Arabidopsis thaliana: one gene and its partners. The protein of the gene in region 1 interacts with the protein of each later gene in a pairwise test. Each region holds a gene or a part of one and is shown in the gene's direction. Other genes may lie near its edges. The genes, in order: GONST1, MLO10, ATPUP13 and AT1G57980.

Region 1 (5,877 bases):
TTGTAACCTCAGCCGATTAGCCCGAAATATTCATCAGAACAAGACGAAGACTCCAATTCTTCATACTCCGTCCCAATCAACCGCATCAACTTGATCAATCCACCAAGGAGAACCGATGCTCTAAACAAGCCCTTTTGGCGGAGCAAGGAATTACCTTCACTTGGGAGAAGAATCAAGCACTCAATGAACAAGGATCCATTTGATGACTTCTGGAATTTTCATCTTCCCGAAATTGGAAGAGTTAATTTGAGCCTGCAAAAGGCAACCAAAAGAGAAAGAAAGAAAGTAAATCCGAACAAGTCGGAAAGAGAAACCGGCATCAAAACAGGAAATCTAAAACACAAACCAAAAAGCTCTGATTGAAGACGGAGATTACAAAAGAAAAACAGAGCTCCCTCTCTGTAAAAGATATGAAAGAGAGAAGAGATAGAAAACTCTTTTCATTAAATGTTATAATACGAAAATGATATTCAACTATTTGTTCTCAAGAACAAGATGAGTGTCGTTAACATTAGAGTGTGAATATATTTTTGTTATAAAAATTGTCATGCGTTACGGAAAAAACAAAATGGTCATGCGTTTGGCTACACTGGTTCTTTTGGGCCTAAAGGATTTTATTTTACGTGCTCGAGTAACTTGGGCTATGGCTAGTGGATTTAGAAGTGGACTGTGTCAAAGAGTCAAAATAGATAGGCTAAAATTTCTGGTGGAAAGAATTAAGCCGAAAGGTCAACGGTATGGTACAAAGCAAAAAGGCAAATGGACCATTATTGCCAAACTTTTATTTTTATTCATTCAGATTTTGTGTCAAATTGCCAAGTTTAGAGACACATAACAGTAGTACACTTTTGCACTGACTATCAATTTAAATACGAATTCTCACTGATTAAACTAATTAAGACGCATCATTATAAATTTCTTAAATCATAAACACTAGAATCCAAAATCGATTTTCATTTTTCCCTCTTTTCTTTTTTGAATTCTTTCCTTTTTTTGATTCCTTCTTCTTCTTTAAATTCAAAATAATCTCTTATCTCTATGTCGATTGATGGTGCGAAAGAGAAAAAATTGTGCCTCAATTTGCTTAATTAACGAAAATTCGTGATTAAATTGAAAATCAACATAAAAATTGAGAATTTAAATTACCAGATACAGAACTCATAGTTTAAATCAACAAAAATAGTAAACTACTGATTTAAATGACATTTTTCCAAAAAAGCAAATTGTACAACATATTGTGTGATTTGGACCATATGGTACCAAACCATTATAACTAAATTAGATAATTTATGTTTATATTATTATTTCTTCTCAATATATAAGAGATTTATATAATAACCAATAACTATAAAATGATGAAAATTAACAAAATAACATCATAAGCTCAATACCTTAGGAGAGAACATATTTAACGTGTAACTGTCAAAGTTACTCCAAACAAAGTTTGTGTTCTTTTTTTATAAATAACAATGTTTGTGTTGAATGACCTCAATGAAGAGATTTGTTTGATAGTATTAAATAGCTAATATTTTCTTAAATTTTAGTATAGTTATGACATATTTGTATATGGCCTATTTGTATATGATCAGTATTATTCTGTTTTATTGTCTTAAAAATGATCAATATTATTCTGTATTTATAGATAAAAGGCTATTTTTCGCTTTGGAATAATTTTTAATTTCAAGAAATACATACTAGTTTTATTTATTCATTTAGACATGTTTGACATGAGTAGTTGATGAGTTTGTCAATTTTGAAATACCCACTGAGAAAATTTATTTTGTTTTACATAATGGAACTTCCTCTAACTTACGAAACTCTTAATTTTAATATAAATAAACAAACGAAAGAAACGAAAATTGGTCAGTTTTTTTTTTTTTTTTCTCTTCTGGTCAATGCCATCTCTCTCCCTCGTCTTTTCAGTTTCCTAATTTCCATTGTTTCTTCAAAACAACATTTCACAGATAGCTCCACCACGACCTGACGAAGATCCTCCGCGTGAGCAAGTTTCATGTTCTTCTTCTTCTTCCGATTCATAGTTTTTTTTTTTTCCGGTAACTTGTCATCAATTAGATCTCGTCCGAAGTTGAATCTTTAGTTCGCGAGCTTTTGGACAACTTCGAGGTAAAATTCGTTATTCTCTACACAACTTCCGATTAACGCTTGTGTAGCTACTCTCAACTTTGCTGCTTGATCCAATCTCGTCTTAAGTTGATTTTAGCTGCGAATTGGAACCGAATTGGTTTTTATGTAAAACTGTTACTTTTTTTGTGCGTGTATTGTTAAGAATGATGGATCTAGTTATATAAGCTTGAAAGAAGTTAGTTTCTTTGGTAGGTCTTAGCTTTGCAATGAAATTGTACGAACACGATGGAGTTGATTTAGAAGATGGGAAGACAGTAAAATCCGGAGGAGATAAACCAATTCCAAGAAAGATACATAACCGGGCTTTGTTATCCGGTTTAGCTTATTGCATTTCATCATGCAGTATGATACTTGTCAACAAGTTTGTTCTCTCCAGCTACAACTTCAATGCTGGGATCTTCCTTATGTTATACCAGAACTTTGTCTCGGTGATCATTGTGGTTGGTTTGAGTTTAATGGGTCTAATAACTACTGAACCACTTACTTTGAGGTTGATGAAGGTCTGGTTTCCAGTGAATGTCATCTTTGTTGGTATGCTTATCACAAGCATGTTTAGGTAAGAATGTGTTTCTACACCTTTATTTTGTGTTGGTTTGTTGAATTATATATCGATGCTCTCTTAATTCTCAAGCCTATAAGATTACTAAATTAGTAAAGTCAACTTTTTGGAGTACTAAAGGTAGTTATAAGAATCTGTACATCATCTTTACAGCAGATCGAGGATTAAATAACGTGTAGACACTTAGGTGAAACAGATAGATATTTTGGATTTACTTCACAGTAGGTCGAGATATATAGATATGTATCGTATATGTGTATGTAGGCGGTGTTTGAAGAGCAGATTGAACTTGATTGTCTATTTGAATTACATTTTCTTTGACAGTTTGAAATACATCAATGTAGCAATGGTCACTGTCCTGAAGAATGTCACTAATGTGATAACTGCAGTTGGTGAGATGTATCTGTTCAACAAGCAACATGACAACAGAGTGTGGGCTGCTCTCTTCTTAATGGTATGTTTGTCTGCTTTAAAAGTATTTCTAACTGATTCTGTAAATTGTACCTGAGAAAAAACTATTCTCAAGGAACCTATTTCAAGCTGCACATAGATAGCATTTTGATTGGAGTTTTTGAAAGATATCCTTGTCAAACAACGATTCTATACTGTTTTGGATTTGGTTTTCTCTTGTTTTCTCAAAGCACTCTCTGATCATCAACCTTAACCAATAAAGTCTAAAGCATATCTTCTTATTGATAAGTGATCCACCCTTTTGTGTGCGTACACAGTTACACTTGTCGTAGCGGCTTTCAGTGGTGTGGCATAGCCTAACCTTTCAATACTGTTGGAGATACATGTTTTTAACTGCTTCCACAATTAGTCTGCCAGGGAAATGTAATCATGTTTTTTTGTCACGGCTACTCATTGTTATATGTATATTCTATTTGTTTTTGTATAGATCTTGAATAAGTAGAGGATAAAGTTTTGATTAACCTGTGCTTCTTTCGTCCTTCATTTGCAGATAATTTCCGCAGTTTCTGGAGGAATAACAGACCTATCATTCAATGCTGTTGGCTATGCTTGGCAGATTGCTAATTGCTTCTTAACTGCATCGTACTCGGTGAGTAAACATTTGATCATTTGTGTTTTCTTTTCCCAAAATGTTAGGAGTCATTTGAAACAATAAACACATATATGAAAAGGAGATCACTTAAAAACCATGCTTTCATGTCGAGTATTACATGCTGTTTGGTTAAGACTAAGTCAATAAACTAAACAGCCTTCCCTATAATCATTACGATACTGGCTTGCTTTTGAGTTTTAAGATGCTCACGAGATACCGAGATTCTGTTACCTTAGAAAATTTTATAGCTTGCAATCCATTGTCACTGGTAACCTGAGTACTTCACTCGTTGTTAGAAGTAGGAATAGCATGTTAAAGAGAAGACTTTGGGCAAAGAATGCAAATTGACACCATCAACTTCTCAGTTCTCACTAGGTTTTCCATTGCTGGGTCAAAAAACGAGAGTGTTAGACTGTTAGGTTCCCATAAATTTATCCCTATATCCTGTCAACAAAAACCAAGTGTTTGGCTTGTTAGCTAGGCTACTATACTCTTATAAAATTTGCCACCACTTTTGACTTGCCTTATATTTTGTTGTTTTGCAGCTGACTTTGAGAAAGACCATGGATACGGCCAAGCAGGTTACTCAATCTGGAAACTTGAACGAGTTCTCCATGGTCTTGCTTAATAACACACTTTCATTACCACTTGGGCTTCTTCTTTCTTATTTCTTCAACGAGATGGATTATCTCTATCAAACGTGAGTTCCTGTCCTTATTTCTGTGTCAATGGAAAATGGTTTGTGTCATCTGAAAACAAAATGGTGTATTATATTTGTGCAGGCCACTTCTACGATTACCAAGTTTCTGGATGGTCATGACACTTAGTGGACTTCTAGGGCTTGCCATTAGCTTTACTTCAATGTGGTTTCTTCATCAAACTGGAGCAACAACATACAGGTAGCAAATTAGAGAGAGATAGAGCAATTTCAAAACTTTGCTTAAGAGAGTGTTGCTGTCCCCTAGCCTTCTCCATATATCCCTTTCCTATGTTTGCTTCTTTGTTGGTTCAGTCCTAACTAGATACATCTTTCGCTTTATTCAAAATCATAGCCTGGTGGGATCTCTAAACAAGATACCTCTATCCATCGCGGGGATCGTTCTTTTCAATGTACCGACCAGTTTGCAGAACTCAGCAAGCATACTCTTTGGTAAGCGTTCTCTCGATCAGTTCCCTTTTCCAACTTCTTGAAGGAACACATATCGCTTGTGTTGTGTATTATTATTAAACCTGAGGTGGCCTAATTTGCAGGTCTTGTCGCTGGAGTTGTATTTGCTAGAGCCAAAATGAGGGAGAAGTCCTAAAATACTAACCATCTACAACACATTTTACTACATCAATCAGTATAGGACATGGCAAAAGCTGATTAAAGCAGAGCAATGAGTTTATAACCTCAGAATTCTATGCACGTTATGTGTTTCTTGTAAAAGCTTTCGCCACTCTACTTGTATAATGTTAGTAAAATATTAATGAATGTATCGATTCTTGAGTGGTAAGAGAAGTGTTGGTTTATGTGTTTCTTCGTTTTTACCAATTTTCCAGTAAAGAAATTCAATGGTATGAGATTTCAACATAAACTGAAAACCCTAGCCACCTGATGATCAAGAACGACGGAAAGATGATGAGAGTGAGAATTGCGAAGGAGAGATCTGACTTATGCGACTTGACTGCTGCTGCAATTAAGGCTACTTACAATACACGGAACCCATGCGAAGTCGAGCGATGCATCGATGTGTTGAATCACTTGAAGTCTCTGTCTCTTTCCGTGAAGGATATACGATTGTCTGAATCAATAGTTAAACTGGAGACTTTGAGAAGTCATAGGAACCCTAGAATCCGTAAGGAAGCCCAAGCCTTGTTTCATTCATGGTTGAAGACATTCTACGCACATGGAAGCGACAACTCTTTCACAGCTGCTCTTACCAAAGATCGTCTGAAGATGAAGAAGCATGTTCTAAAAATGTGTTCGGAGTTGAAGAAGAAAGAAGAACCGGGAACTATGGCTCGTCAAGTCACTGCCTTTTCGGTGTTGAAGAATAAAGAAGACGAGAGATCTCAGACGACTGTTGAAGCAGTAGAGAGTAAGACAACGATCAAACTCTCGGAGTTG
Region 2 (5,796 bases), on another chromosome or scaffold:
CGGCAAGGTTGGCAAACATGATGCAGGGGGTGAATACCACGAAGACGAGCTGCGAGGGAAAATGTTTGTTAGTGATGATATATGAATGCATGCATAGTTGACACCAAACAGAAAAAAGAAAAGCAGAGACGGAGGTTGACCTTGTTCACGGATCTTCGGGTGTCAGCAGAGAGAAGAGAGCAGTAATCGGTTGCCAAGAAAGCGCCAAGGACGCTGATAAGAAGAACTTGAACGATTGGCATTGAAGCCACCTCCAACAACTCTAAGAAACCCATCCCTAATCTCTTCTTTTTCTTTTCTTTTCTTTTTTTCTGGTTTCTTGTAGAAGAAGAGAAGCAGTCAAGGTTAAAGATATAGAGATGAAAGGTTTGATATTTGGGCTGTTTGTGTAGATGGAGAGGATTGGTGGGTATATATATTTAGATTAAATACGTATAGGAGTGGGGTACATGAAGTGTAAAAGAGGAGTCTAACTTTTCAACATAGGAAAAGTCATGCAAGAAAGGTGAATAAAAAGGACAAGTTGGCCTCTAGGTACTGTTGGTCTCTCAGGTAGTGCATATGCAAAATCACATAGATATCAAAATTAGAAGATTCAATATTGGGACGAAAGACTTTTGGGATTGTCTCAGGTTAATAATGTTGACAGAATCAAAGTAAGACTCATCGTCATGCTGTAGCTAAATTGCTCCCAGTATCTTTCTTTCCAAATATTTTTATATCTTTATTTCCGCTTTCTTTTTCTCTAGCTAGAGAGATGTATTTAAACTATCCATGGATATTCGAGCACATGAGTCACAACTAACAAACTAACATTTTTCAAAGTGGCCAAACTTGACCTTTTAATCATAATATTATTTGTCTTTATCACCTAACATAAAGTCACGATACAAAACATCTCTTGAATTTGACCCCCAAGCTGATTGCTATGCCAAGTCCACAATGCTCCTCATAGGCTCATACTCTCTACTTTATTACAAATATCAATAAAAAAAATGTCAACTGTGATATGTGTGACTTTCACAAGCCACTCTGCTAAGTTGACTGATCCCAACCCTGCACATATCACATATGCACACATGGAAAACAGTTGCATTGTAATTTGGGGAAAATAATCTCATCCTGCACATCTCCTCTGTTTCCTCTTTACAACTCCACAGTATCTTGTTCGAATTTATTTATCCAATCAAAAAATAAGTGATATGCTAAAAAAAACTTGTGGGATTAAAACCAAGATGAGGAAGAGGAAACCGTCGTTTGCTTGTATGTCTCGGAGAATTACGTGTGCTGATGATTATAATAAATTAAAAGTAAGAGAGTCAAATATTTGTTTAAACAAGAAAACGGTAAGAAGGATGAGACCAGGTTTTGTGGTAGAACAAGTCCGGGAGATAAGATAGTTGCGTGACTAGGAAATGGCGTGTCTACACAAGGGCACCTTTTGATTTCGATCATATAACAAAGAAGTAGATAGGCCTAAAAGAGCCCATGGTATGTATGTATGAGGCAGCTATTGTGAGGCCTATATATGGGCTTAGCTCATTGTCCATTTGTTTCCAAATTATTCATATGATCAACGATAGATGATCAAATGAAGATATATTTCTAATACATTTAGTTTTATCATTGTCAAAATATATATTTCTACAAAGAAACTTTACAACATGATCGGATTACGTGAAACTAAAAAGAGGGAAGAAACTTGATAGAGACAAAGAGGAGCCTTTTGTTATAATCATATTAGTTATCCCAGGCTGAGAAAGTGATGATTCCTCCATGCATTTAAAAAATTGTAGGTACATAAAGAAAAGAAAAAATAAATAAAGGTGGTAGATAGTGGAGCAACGGCCAAGAGTAAGATAACATTCTATATCTCTAAAGTTGCAAGTTGGGTTATATTTAACTAAAAGTGGAAATACTAAAAGGGGAAAGCAATCATAAAAGCATAACCAAATAGTCAAACTGACGAGTGTGTTGGACGATTCTGTTCTTCTACCCCTCTGATCTCTCACAGGGGATCAAATTGTCATTTAGTTTTGATATATAGAGCCACAACAGTGACATTAGTTTGTTGTTGACTACTGTAAGGGTTGGGTTTCGAAAAGAGACATGGAGGAGTGTTATTAGGTTGATTGTTCTCAAGTACCTCCAGTGTCAAACAAACATTGACGATTGATTCTCTTCCCATAATTTATTGTTATGCATTACATATCACAGTAAACGGACTTTCAGTCAACACCGCATTTATTTGCCCTCTTCATTGTTTCACGTACGTAATCAAGGACCAAGGGATTTTCTTCTTTTGGCTACCATGGCCACAAGATGCTTTTGGTGTTGGACCACTTTGCTCTTCTGCTCTCAGCTGCTTACCGGCTTTGCCCGAGCTTCCTCTGCAGGCGGCGCCAAAGAGAAAGGACTCTCCCAAACTCCCACCTGGGCCGTTGCCCTCGTCTGTACCTTCTTCATTCTTGTCTCCGTCCTCCTCGAGAAGGCTCTTCACAGAGTTGCCACGGTTTGCCCTGAATTCCCTTTTTTCTTTCTTCCTTTACTTCCGCCCTCTAAACTTTTATTTTATTTCTCAGTGGTTGTGGGAGAAACATAAGAACTCTCTGCTTGAAGCCTTGGAGAAAATAAAGGCGGGTAAGACCAGAGAATTGTTTTCTCCTACCGTATTTGGTTAAGAAAACTAAGATATATGAAATGGATGCAGAGCTGATGATTCTAGGATTCATTTCCTTGTTGCTCACCTTCGGAGAGCAGTACATTCTCAAGATTTGTATTCCTGAAAAGGCTGCAGCCTCTATGTTACCTTGTCCAGCTCCTTCTACTCATGACCAAGACAAGACCCACCGCAGACGTCTAGCTGCTGCTACGACCTCTTCCCGCTGCGATGAGGTCATCTCTAGCTTCCCTTGTACTAAAAAATTTACGCTCTAGCTCTATCTCTCTAACACTTTTTTGTTGTCCGCAGGGTCATGAACCACTCATACCTGCCACGGGTTTGCACCAGCTACACATTCTATTGTTCTTCATGGCTGCCTTTCATATCCTCTACAGTTTCATCACCATGATGCTTGGCAGACTCAAGGTACGACAAGCCCTGATTTTCTTATCTCAAACTTTCGTAATCCTAGCTATTCATCATTTTCTGTAACTGCAGATCCGTGGCTGGAAAAAGTGGGAGCAGGAGACATGTTCTCATGATTACGAGTTTTCAATCGGTAGGCGAGTTCTTGTTCATTAAATTAAACCTTTGTTTTATAGGTCACTAAAGTGGCTCCTCTCTATGCATAGATCCATCAAGATTCAGACTCACTCATGAGACGTCCTTTGTTAGACAACATTCCAGTTTCTGGACAAAAATCCCCTTCTTCTTTTATGCTGTGAGAAGCATGCATTTACTTCTTCTTGAGCATGCCCTCGTGGCATCAAGTTTGTTGATTAAAAATTGATTTTTGCTCGCTCTCTCAACCATCTGATTTACAGGGGTGCTTCCTACAGCAGTTTTTCCGATCTGTAGGGAGGACTGACTACTTAACTCTGCGCCATGGCTTCATCGCTGTAAGGCAAAACTCAATTCTCTCTTGTATTTGCCTTCCACTAATGGTGTGATGCTTATGGGTGAGTCTCCTTTAGGCCCATTTAGCTCCAGGAAGAAAGTTCGACTTCCAGAAGTATATCAAAAGATCATTGGAAGACGATTTCAAGGTGGTAGTTGGAATAAGGTACGTAGCACAAAACAGTGCTAGAGCTAGTACTGCGTTGAGAGGTGTTTGTTGACATTGCTGATACTGTACTGTGCAGTCCTCTTTTGTGGGCATCATTTGTAATTTTCCTACTTCTGAATGTTAATGGTGAGTCAGCTTTGCATTTGCTTGCTCTTTTACCAAGCCATTGGTTATTGTTCTACTGAATAAATAATCCCATTCCTGTTTAGGCTGGGAAGCATTGTTTTGGGCGTCAATCCTACCTGTACTTGTAAGACAAGTTATACTCTTGAGCGAATCTTATACTGTGTTTGTATGTCTCATTTTTACAACCCCTTGCAGATCATTCTAGCTGTCAGTACGAAGCTTCAAGCGATCCTAACAAGAATGGCTCTGGGAATCACGGAGAGACACGCAGTTGTTCAAGGGATACCTCTCGTGCATGGTTCAGATAAGTACTTTTGGTTTAATCGCCCTCAGTTGCTACTTCATCTTCTTCACTTCGCCTTATTTCAGGTACTTGCATTGTTTTCAGTTCCAAACAAAACTACCATTGCATGTTACATATACTTGTCTTCAACTTTTGTGCCATGCTGTCTAAATGCTCCTTCTTTTTGTATAGAATGCTTTCCAGCTAACATACTTCTTCTGGGTCTGGGTAACAACATCTCTCTATATTCTATGCGCAATACACTAGTTGTTTGCCTTTTGGACCATGTACATATTCTCTTCTATTGATACAAATGACTTGATACATTTCGTTAATTTGGCATGCAGTATTCCTTTGGGCTAAAATCTTGCTTTCACACGGATTTCAAACTAGTCATCGTAAAACTCTCTCTAGGGTAAAATTTATTCTTATTCTTCTCTAGTGAATAAACTAATAGATATATCTCTCTTGGAACGATTAGCTCAACAAGTTTGATAAATTTGCAGCGTTGGAGCTTTGATTTTGTGCAGCTACATCACACTTCCTTTGTATGCACTAGTTACTCAGGTACATTTATCCTAATTTCAGCCTTTACTCTCCAGATATTTGTGTCTACGAAGCTATATAGTAGTAACTAAGCAACAAACTTATGTTGTTGTTGTGGGCAGATGGGTTCAAACATGAAGAAAGCTGTGTTTGATGAGCAAATGGCAAAAGCGTTGAAGAAATGGCACATGACTGTGAAGAAGAAGAAAGGCAAAGCGAGAAAGCCACCAACAGAGACCCTTGGTGTTTCTGACACTGTCAGCACCTCTACCTCATCCTTTCACGCCTCTGGAGCCACTCTACTCCGCTCCAAGACCACTGGTCACTCGACAGCCTCTTATATGAGTAATTTCGAGGACCAAAGCATGTCTGATCTTGAAGCTGAGCCATTATCCCCTGAACCAATAGAGGGGCACACTCTCGTCAGGGTTGGTGATCAGAACACAGAGATAGAATATACTGGAGATATTAGTCCTGGAAACCAATTCTCCTTTGTGAAGAACGTTCCTGCTAATGATATTGACTAATATTCAAAATGAATGCAGAACAAATCCATCATCCGGTCTTTATTTTCTATTACATGTATGCCAACAATTGCTTCGCCAAGTGTTACCAACTAGGTTTTCTGTATAAGGCTGTATTTTAGAGCTCTTACGTATCTAAAGAAAAAGTAAAGCGATACATAACAGGTCGGCCCAGATAAGTATTACATCGTGCAACTGACTATTACTGCCAGAATCTATCAAAAAACAAGACACGGACTTTGATAAAGATTGTATAAAGAAAGGATTAAACCGTAGCTCACGCTGATCTTTTACAATATCTGATATAAACAGACTCACTCAGGTTCTTCCTCGTCATCAGTGTCACCTCCAAACATGGAAGCCATTTTCATCGCTAAATTTGCAGCTATTTCCCTCCTCTGGAAATCAGGCATCAATCGCAAGTTGTCCCGGATGTTTCCTATTTCTGACATCAACTGTTCCACATCTTCAAACTCGTAACATTTTTCATTTTCTGTGCCCAAAGGTTTTTCATCTGTTACTATTGCTCTGTCAGTGTCATTTTGCAGCTCTAACCTTGACCCTGACGGCAGCAGCTCTTCATCAACTT
Region 3 (4,093 bases), on another chromosome or scaffold:
AATCGAAAGAATACCTCCCCCACTGAAAATTCCTACAGAACGTGAGATCACTCATCACCTTGAGGAAAAATTCATCCACTTGAGGTGCCTTATCTCCGGTCTTGATAGGCGCTATGATAATGCTGCTTAAGAAATACAAGACCATCATCCTCAACCTTTCTTTTGATCTTTCACCCTCCGGTACCATTCCTATGAGCTTCTCTCTCACGTCTTCGCGTTTCACAACAGTATCCTTGAAATGCTTCCTCTTGAAATCCAAATTCCCCGTATTTTTGTAACCAAGTTTATAGTTCTTGCAATTGAAGTCCGATATCAATGCGTGTTCCAATATTCCATATCGGATTGGAACGCCATTGACGATGAACCACGCTTCTTTCTTCCTTTCAATGCGCGCCGTGCGAAGAAGGAGCATCCACATCCCCATAAGTCGGTGGTTCGGGTCTCTTGGCATGTGGAAGATATGTTGGAAACTAGGATGGTTCTCAAACCATAACCTCTCGGACTTGCTCATCGGCGGCTCCAACTTATCGAATGTAGTCAACAATTCGTGAATATAGCACCGAGTTGAAAGCTTGATTTTCTTCACATATTCCGAGGGCGGGAAATACATACTCAAGGGTGGTACTGCTTCTGTTTCCTCGTCGATCTCCTGCAACAGACATTCATTCATATTACTACCGATGGTACATAGAATCATACACATAGTTATATCCTAGTAATGACAGCATTATCCAGAAATCATACACGTAGTTGTTTCCTAGTATTGACAGTTTGACCCAAAAACGCATAGTTATATCCTAGTAATGACAATATTATCCAGAAATCATATACGTAGTTGTTTCCTAGTATTGACAGTTTGACCAAAAAACGCATAGTTATATCCTAGTAATGACAGTATTATCCAGAAATCATACAAGTAGTTGTTTCCTAATATTGACAGTTTGACCCAAAAACGCATAGTTATATCCTAGTATTCTCCACAAATCATACACGTAGTTGTTTCCTAGTATTGACAGTATGACCCAAAAACGCATAGCTATATCCTAGTAATGACAGTATTCTCCACAAATCATAGTATTATCCTGTTCTACCAGTTTCAAACCATTCAAAGACTGAGAATTGACTCGAAATCCTTACCATAGCCGCCGGAATTTCCACTGCAGTTGATGTCTCCTCATCCATATTCTCATCGGCGGAGGTCTCTTCCCCAAGCTTCTAGTACTATCATCGGAGGACTCTTCTCCGCCAACATTCTCCTCTTCTTCTTTCTCCTCTTCCTCCTCTTCCTCCTCTTCCTCTTCCTCCCCTTCCTCTTCCTCTTCTTCTTCTTTCTCTTCTTCTTCTTTCTCTTCTTCTTCACTCTCTTCTTCCTCAACATTCTCCGGATCTTGCTCTGTCAGCGACGGCTCCTCCGTCCTCGTCGGCGCAGTCTCCTTCGTTGCCGGCGCAGTCTCCTTCGTCGGCGCAGTCTCCTTCGTTATCGTCGGCGCAGTCTCCTTCGTTGCCGGCGCAGTCTCCTTCGTTGCCGGCGCAGTCTCCTTCGTTGCCGTCGCAGTCTCCTCCGTCGTTGATTTCACGGTCGTTCCAACTCCTCTCTTCCTCTTCTTTAGAGGCGGCATTGTTTTCGGCGGCATTAGGGTTAGGATTAGAGGAGAAGAAACGATTCTGAGAGAAAAGAGAGAGAATTAGGGTTCGTGTTGTTGAGAATTTGAGTGAAAGGGAGAGGAGTTGTTTGTGTTCACAGAGAATCGAGAGAGAGAGAGAGCGGTTTCTCTCGGAACTCGTTTCTTTGAGTGAGGAAAAAACGAAAAAATTGTAAGTGTTGAGTCTGAATTTTTTTTTTTTTTGGTTTTCAAATTAAAGTGAGAGGATATCTTGGTAAAATCCTTCATTTATGTATTTAAATTAAATCACAAATAGGTTCTGTTTTTTGTGGGAAGATATGAGATTTTCTTCAAGCAAAAAGGGAGTTATGAGATGATTGGTCGTCCTCGCCGGAGAAAAGATACGAGACTTGTCTCTCAATCCTGAAGCAGACTCGATTCATCCATCAGTCAACAAATCTTCCTTCACAATGGGTATATCTCTTTAATGTTCCTTACTTCAATTTCAGTTTCGATTCTAGAAATGAAATAAACTGATTAATTGTCAAAACCCAATTCCCAGATTTTTCTTAATCCCCAGATTAAAATTGTCAAAAACAAAAAATTGGGGTTTTCATAAAAATGATAAATTTCTTAAAAGATGAAAACTTTATGTGTTTTTTTCTTTTGGGTAACAGATGAAGAAGAAGCAATGTTACTGCTAAAGGAAGAAGATGAAGGAACAAGAAGAACTAGTGTTCCTACACAACTCATGAAACTAAAACGAACCCATTGGTGGATTCTTGTCTTTATAAGTATCTTCTTCCTCATCTCTGCACAAGCCATTGCTGTTCTTCTTGGTCGGTTTTATTACAACGAAGGTGGAAACAGTAAATGGATCTCTACTCTTGTCCAAACTTGTGGTTTTCCGATTCTCTATCTCCCTCTTTGTTTCCTTCCTGCTTCACACTCTTCTTCATCTTCTTGTTCTTTCAAGACTCTGGTTTGGATTTATCTTTCTCTTGGTTTTGCTATTGGTTTAGACAATCTTTTATACTCTTTTGGTCTTTTGTATCTCTCTGCTTCAACTTATTCGATTCTTTGTTCTTCACAGTTAGCTTTCAATGGTGTCTTCTCTTATTACATCAATTCTCAGAAAATCACTTGTTTGATTCTCTTCTCTGTGTTGTTTCTCTCTGTCTCTGCTGTGTTGGTTTCTCTTGACGATGATTCCAATAGCCCATCAGGAGATTCTAAGTGGAGTTACTTGATTGGTTGTTTATGTACTGTTTTTGCTTCTCTTATCTATTCTCTTCAGCTCTCTCTTATGCAGTTTTCTTTCGAGAATGTTCTCAAGAGTGAGACGTTCTCTATGGTTCTCGAGATGCAAATCTATACGTCGCTTGTGGCTTCTTGTGTTGCGGTTATCGGGTTGTTTGCGAGCGGGGAATGGATGTTGTTGAGTGTGGAGATGGAAGAGTTTCACGAGGGTCAAGTCATTTATGTTTTGACTTTGGTTGGGACCGCGGTTTCGTGGCAATTGGGTTCTGTAGGAGCCGTGGCGCTTATATTTCTGGTTTCTTCGCTGTTTTCGAACCTTATTGGTACACTCTCACTCATTGTTACGCCTCTTGCAGCCATTGCGGTGTTCCACGACAAGCTGACTGAGGTTAAGATGGTCGCGATGCTCATTGCCTTCATGGGGTTCGGGTTTTATATCTACCAGAATTATCTTGATGACCTGAAAGTACAAAGAGCACGAGAAGCTCAGGCTGAATAGTTCTGCTGTGTTTTATTAGTTAATTTTGTTAGTAACCTTTCTTAGAACAAGCTAGCTACAAGTGTTGTATTGTATATAGTAGAGTTCATAATCCGGTGATAATATACATAATACTAATTGCATATGGAGCTTGTTTTTACGGGCCAAAGTTCTATGCAGAATCTACATACGTAATAGATCAACGTATGAGGTTAAGTATAATGGTGGATTCATCGAGAATCTCGGAGACACACATGTTGTTTCAGAAGATCATGATGTTGCTGATCTTGAAACAAACATGGTTGAAAGCAATAAACATGTTGATGATTCAACTTTGAAAGCTTCTTCATCAAAGAGGAAGATGGTTATTAAGGGGTTTTGATTGATCAAAAAGAAGAATCTAGTTACCAATATGTCCTTAGGCACGTCCATACATAAAATAGAAATCACACTCGGAAAAGGTGGACAATTAGCTAGAGCAGCGGGTTCCACATTAAAATTACCTTCAGGAGAGGTCCGTTTCCGAAAACTGCTACTATGTCTACTACAAATTTTGTTTTGCTAAGACAAGTATTTCTACTACTATGAAATTCATAAATAAAATAGTTAATCGTGTGGTAATCATTCCTTTTTTTTTTGTTATCTTGCAAGTGGTCCTAAAAAAAGGGAATTTGTCAAATTTTCGAGGTCTTAAAGAGTGTGGAATCACATAAGAAACTCTTGAATGTAATTGGAAAAGAGATGTAACTCC
Region 4 (4,113 bases), on another chromosome or scaffold:
CCAGACCAAATCTTGAGTCCGAGAAGATCGTTGGAGCTAAAACAAAAGAAATGGTGGATCTCTGTTTCTTTATGTATTTTCTTAGTCTTGCTCGGAGATTCTCTAGTCATGCTTCTCTTGAACTTCTTCTATGTTCAAGACAATCGAGAAGATAGTGACCAAGATCTACAATACCGAGGAACATGGTTGCAAGCTCTGGTCCAAAACGCTGCGTTTCCACTACTCATTCCTCTGTTTTTCATTTTCCCTTCACCAAAACAAAACCAAGAAACCACCAATACTCGTTTCCTCTCTTTTCGTCTCATCTTACTTTACATCTCTCTTGGTGTTCTTGTTGCTGCTCACAGCAAATTGTTTGCACTTGGGAAATTATACGCAAACTTTGGCGTCTTCACGCTGATTTCCGCGACTCAGTTGATATTTACCGCTATTTTCGCAGCCATTATTAACCGTTTTAAGTTCACCAGATGGATTATCTTATCGATAATCGGCAGCATTTTGATTTATGTTTTCGGTAGTCCTGAATTTGGAGGAGAGCCTGATGAAAACGAAGAATTCTACAGCATCCAAGCTTGGTTAACTTTCGCTGCTTCAGTTGCTTTCGCATTATCTCTCTGTTTATTCCAACTTTGTTTCGAGAAAGTGTTGGTAAAGACAAAGAGATATGGTAACAAGAAAGTGTTTAGAATGGTCATAGAGATGCAAATTTGTGTCTCTTTTGTCGCAACGGTTGTTTGTCTCGTGGGTTTGTTTGCGAGTGGCGAGAATAAGGAACTGCAAGGCGATAGCCACAGGTTTAAGAAAGGAGAAACGTATTACGTTTTGAGTTTGATCGGGTTGGCATTGTCGTGGCAGGTTTGGGCGGTCGGGCTGATGGGTTTGGTGCTTTATGTTTCGGGTGTGTTTGGCGATGTTGTTCATATGTGTACTTCACCACTTGTGGCTTTGTTTGTTGTGTTGGCATTTGATTTCATGGATGATGAGTTTAGTTGGCCTAGAATTGGTACTTTGATAGCAACAGTTGTGGCTTTAGGATCTTACTTCTACACTCTGCATAAGAGAAACAAGAAGAAGATGGTGGAGCTTTACCAAACAGAGAACAATATTGACGTTTAGTCTCTCATGTCAAATGTTTGTTTCTGTTTCAAAATATGTTGTTGTTCTTCTGAATGTTGTAAGTCAATGTCTAAAACATGTTGTATAGATCTGAAAACTATGGAACATATTTGTTAATTATTTTGATTTGATTTTTTTTTTGTATTTATCTCTTACAATATTTTGTTAATGAGGATTTGTCACTACAATTTATCTCTTACTTTCATCAACAAAGTATTGTAATAACTAATAAATAGATACAAAAAAATCTTTCTCACAGCTGGTTAACCTGGGTTCACAAGTCTTTTCCTATATATAGGCTATAATTTTTACGTTGTAAGAACAAAAACCCTTAGTTTCCTTCCTTTCCTCTAGAGATTTATTTATAACTCTCCTTGGATCTTCAACATGTCATGCCACATTGCCACTCAAGAGAGATATTTTTCACCCTTTTATCTTTTAGCTCTTATGTGTACTTGTTCTTGATTTGGTTCTAAGAGAAACTTTTGTGGTTCTTGAAGGAACCTGTTAGAGATGTAAACTATTTTATGAGATGATCTTATGTTTATGGAGATATATATAAGAGCTTTAAATGATCTTTATGTACTTTTGCTTATTTGATTAATGTTTTTCAATATGTGTTTTAGCATGACCATAAGTGAGTAGTCTAGTCTCTATCATGATTGACAGTTTATTAGGTTAACTTATGTTTAATACATGATTGTTAGGAATAAAATTATAGCCTAGTGATGTCCTCAAGGACCACAACTGATGAGTCGTTTTCAAAGTATACCAAATCTGATCTGTCTAAAGGATCGCATGGTTTTGTATAAGTTTTAGTAATATTTCTAATTATTATAAAGAATTTAATCACCACTAGCTAGTCATTGTTTAATGTGCCTCTCCTCAATCATTCTCAATAATTGGAAAATCTACAGGGAATGAAATTTACATATCTAAATCTTTAGAGATCCACCAGAGAAAACTCATGGAGATGACCGAAGCTTCCAAACATACAACAACACATGGTAACTTCACTGTCTTAACTTCTGTAAAAATTGTTTCTATTCTTATTGTCTTCTTAAAAATAAAAAATAAAAACTGAGAATTCCAAATTTTCTTTAACCAACAGAAGAATCAGAACATGTTCAGAATCCTGAACCAGACCAAGTCTTGAGCCAAAGACAACTGTTGCAGCTAAATCAAAAGAAATGGTGGATCTCTGTTCTAATATGTCTTTTCTTAGTCCTGCTTGGAGATTCTCTTGTCATACTTCTCTTGAACTTCTTCTATGTTCAAGACCGTCGAGAAGATAATAACCAAGATCTACAATACAAAGGAACATGGATGCAAGCTCTGATCCAAAACGCTGCTTTTCCAATCCTCATCCCTCTCTTCTTCATTTTCCCTTCACCAAAACCAAACCCTGAAACCATCAATACTCGCTTCCTCTCCATTCGTCTCATCTTGCTTTACTTCTCCCTTGGTGTTCTTGTTGCTGCTCACAGCAAATTGTATGCACTTGGGAAGTTATACTCAAGCTATGGCTTCTTCATGCTGATTTCAGGGTCCCAGTTGATCTTTACCTTGATTTTCACAGCTATCATTAACCGTTTCAAGTTTACTAGATGGATCATCATATCGATAGTTCTCATTCTTGTGAGCTATGCTTTTGGTGGTCCTGTATTTTCAGGAGAGCCTGATGAAAATGAACATTTCTACGGCATCCAAGCTTGGTTAACTTTCGCTGCTTCAGTTGCTTTCGCATTATCTCTCTGTTTAGTCCAACTTAGTTTCGAGAAACTGTTGGTGAAGACAAAGAGATATGGTAACAAGAAAGTGTTTAGAATGGTCTTAGAGATGCAAATATGTGTCTCTTCTGTCGCCTCGGTTGTTTGTCTAGTTGGTTTGTTTGCGAGTGGTGAGTATAAGGAGCTGAAAGGCGATAGCGAGAGGTTTAAGAAAGGAGAAACGTATTACGTTCTGAGTTTGGTCGGGTTGGCTTTGTCGTGGCAGGTTTGGGCGGTCGGGCTGATAGGTTTGGTGCTTTATGTTTCGAGTGTTTTTAGTAATATTGTTCATATGTGTGCTTCACCACTTATGGCTTTTATTGTTGTGTTGGCATTTGATTTTATCGATGATGATTTTAGTTGGCCTAGAATTGGTGCTTTGATAGGATCAGTATTGGCTTTAGGATCTTACTTCTACACTCTGCACAAAAGAAACAAGAAGAAGATGGTGGAATTTAACCAAAGTGAGAACAATGTAGAAGTTTAGTCTCTCATGTCAACTGTATATTTGTGTTTCTCAATCTGTTCTTGTTTCTTTTTCTGATTCTTGTAAGTCAATGTCCAAAATATGTTGTATAGATATGGATCAACTGTGTAATTTATTTGTTGATTGTTTTAGTTTGATTTTTTTTTCTCTGTTTTGCATTTATTTGTAATTTTAAATGTTTTAAGTCTGAAACTATAAAATTTATAACCTCCAAAATATTAATTTTATTTTGATCAAATTGTTTAACTTATATTTTGTTAACAATTAAAACAAAAGTTTCTATAAATTAATAAAATATCATGTTCCAACATTATTAATTTATAGAGGTTTTAATGTACGTTTAAATTAAGTAATTAACCTTGTGTAGCGGTGTATAATATATACAGTAATACCTTTCCGGGTTTTGACTAGTACCAACTCTGATCTGTCAAAAAGATTTCGTACGGTATAGTGGAAAGATCTTTTCTAATTGCAAGATAGAACTAGTCATTCCACAGAGAATGAAATCTGCATATTTAAGGGTGTTCAGACTTCAGAGGTACCAGAGAAAACTAATGGAGATGTCCAAAGCTTCCAAACAGACAACAAGACATGGTAATTATTTCAAATTCTTATCATAAGTTTTATAATATTGTTTCTGTACTCGAAAACAAAATAAAAACTAAATATTTTCTTTAACAACCAGAAGAATCAGAACACGTTCAGAATCCAGAACCAGACCAAATCTTGAGTCCAAGAAGA

What was found.
Region 2: the proteins of GONST1 (region 1) and MLO10 interact in a protein complementation assay, tested with the Arabidopsis thaliana proteins (one large-scale study listed by BioGRID).
Region 3: the proteins of GONST1 (region 1) and ATPUP13 interact in a protein complementation assay, tested with the Arabidopsis thaliana proteins (one large-scale study listed by BioGRID).
Region 4: the proteins of GONST1 (region 1) and AT1G57980 interact in a protein complementation assay, tested with the Arabidopsis thaliana proteins (one large-scale study listed by BioGRID).

The regions. Positions count from the first base shown.
Region 1 is NC_003071.7:5,686,778-5,692,654, reverse strand, and holds GONST1 (golgi nucleotide sugar transporter 1), read left to right. Parts: upstream 1-1,883; 5' UTR 1,884-2,124; intron 2,125-2,337; 5' UTR 2,338-2,351; coding exon 2,352-2,701; exon of another isoform or gene 2,702-2,945; coding exon of another isoform or gene 2,946-3,028; coding exon 3,029-3,158; intron 3,159-3,665; coding exon 3,666-3,764; intron 3,765-4,312; coding exon 4,313-4,467; intron 4,468-4,549; coding exon 4,550-4,666; coding exon of another isoform or gene 4,667-4,670; exon of another isoform or gene 4,671-4,819; coding exon 4,820-4,917; intron 4,918-5,018; coding exon 5,019-5,071; 3' UTR 5,072-5,339; downstream 5,340-5,877. Other genes in the region: AT2G13660 (uncharacterized protein), read left to right, coding at 38-363; AT2G13640 (Transcription factor IIS family protein), read left to right, coding at 5,365-5,877. UniProt on the Arabidopsis thaliana protein: Involved in the import of GDP-mannose from the cytoplasm into the Golgi lumen. Required for the luminal synthesis of a variety of plant cell surface components. Is required for the correct mannosylation of the glycosylinositol phosphoceramides (GIPC).
Region 2 is NC_003076.8:26,386,923-26,392,718, reverse strand, and holds MLO10 (Seven transmembrane MLO family protein), read left to right. Parts: upstream 1-1,951; 5' UTR 1,952-2,311; coding exon 2,312-2,512; intron 2,513-2,582; coding exon 2,583-2,640; intron 2,641-2,710; coding exon 2,711-2,895; intron 2,896-2,971; coding exon 2,972-3,088; intron 3,089-3,160; coding exon 3,161-3,221; intron 3,222-3,294; coding exon 3,295-3,383; intron 3,384-3,486; coding exon 3,487-3,561; intron 3,562-3,636; coding exon 3,637-3,725; intron 3,726-3,804; coding exon 3,805-3,854; intron 3,855-3,937; coding exon 3,938-3,978; intron 3,979-4,049; coding exon 4,050-4,223; coding exon of another isoform or gene 4,224-4,329; coding exon 4,330-4,365; intron 4,366-4,484; coding exon 4,485-4,552; intron 4,553-4,643; coding exon 4,644-4,704; intron 4,705-4,805; coding exon 4,806-5,210; 3' UTR 5,211-5,291; downstream 5,292-5,796. Other genes in the region: AT5G65980 (Auxin efflux carrier family protein), read right to left, coding at 1-49, 141-275; AT5G65960 (GTP binding protein), read right to left, coding at 5,522-5,796.
Region 3 is NC_003075.7:5,565,268-5,569,360, reverse strand, and holds ATPUP13 (Drug/metabolite transporter superfamily protein), read left to right. Parts: upstream 1-1,902; 5' UTR 1,903-2,074; coding exon 2,075-2,078; intron 2,079-2,281; coding exon 2,282-3,363; 3' UTR 3,364-3,588; downstream 3,589-4,093.
Region 4 is NC_003070.9:21,438,703-21,442,815, reverse strand, and holds AT1G57980 (Nucleotide-sugar transporter family protein), read left to right. Parts: upstream 1-1,968; 5' UTR 1,969-2,083; coding exon 2,084-2,123; intron 2,124-2,227; coding exon 2,228-3,372; 3' UTR 3,373-3,610; downstream 3,611-4,113. Other genes in the region: PUP18 (purine permease 18), read left to right, coding at 1-1,116; PUP17 (purine permease 17), read left to right, coding at 3,927-3,966, 4,058-4,113.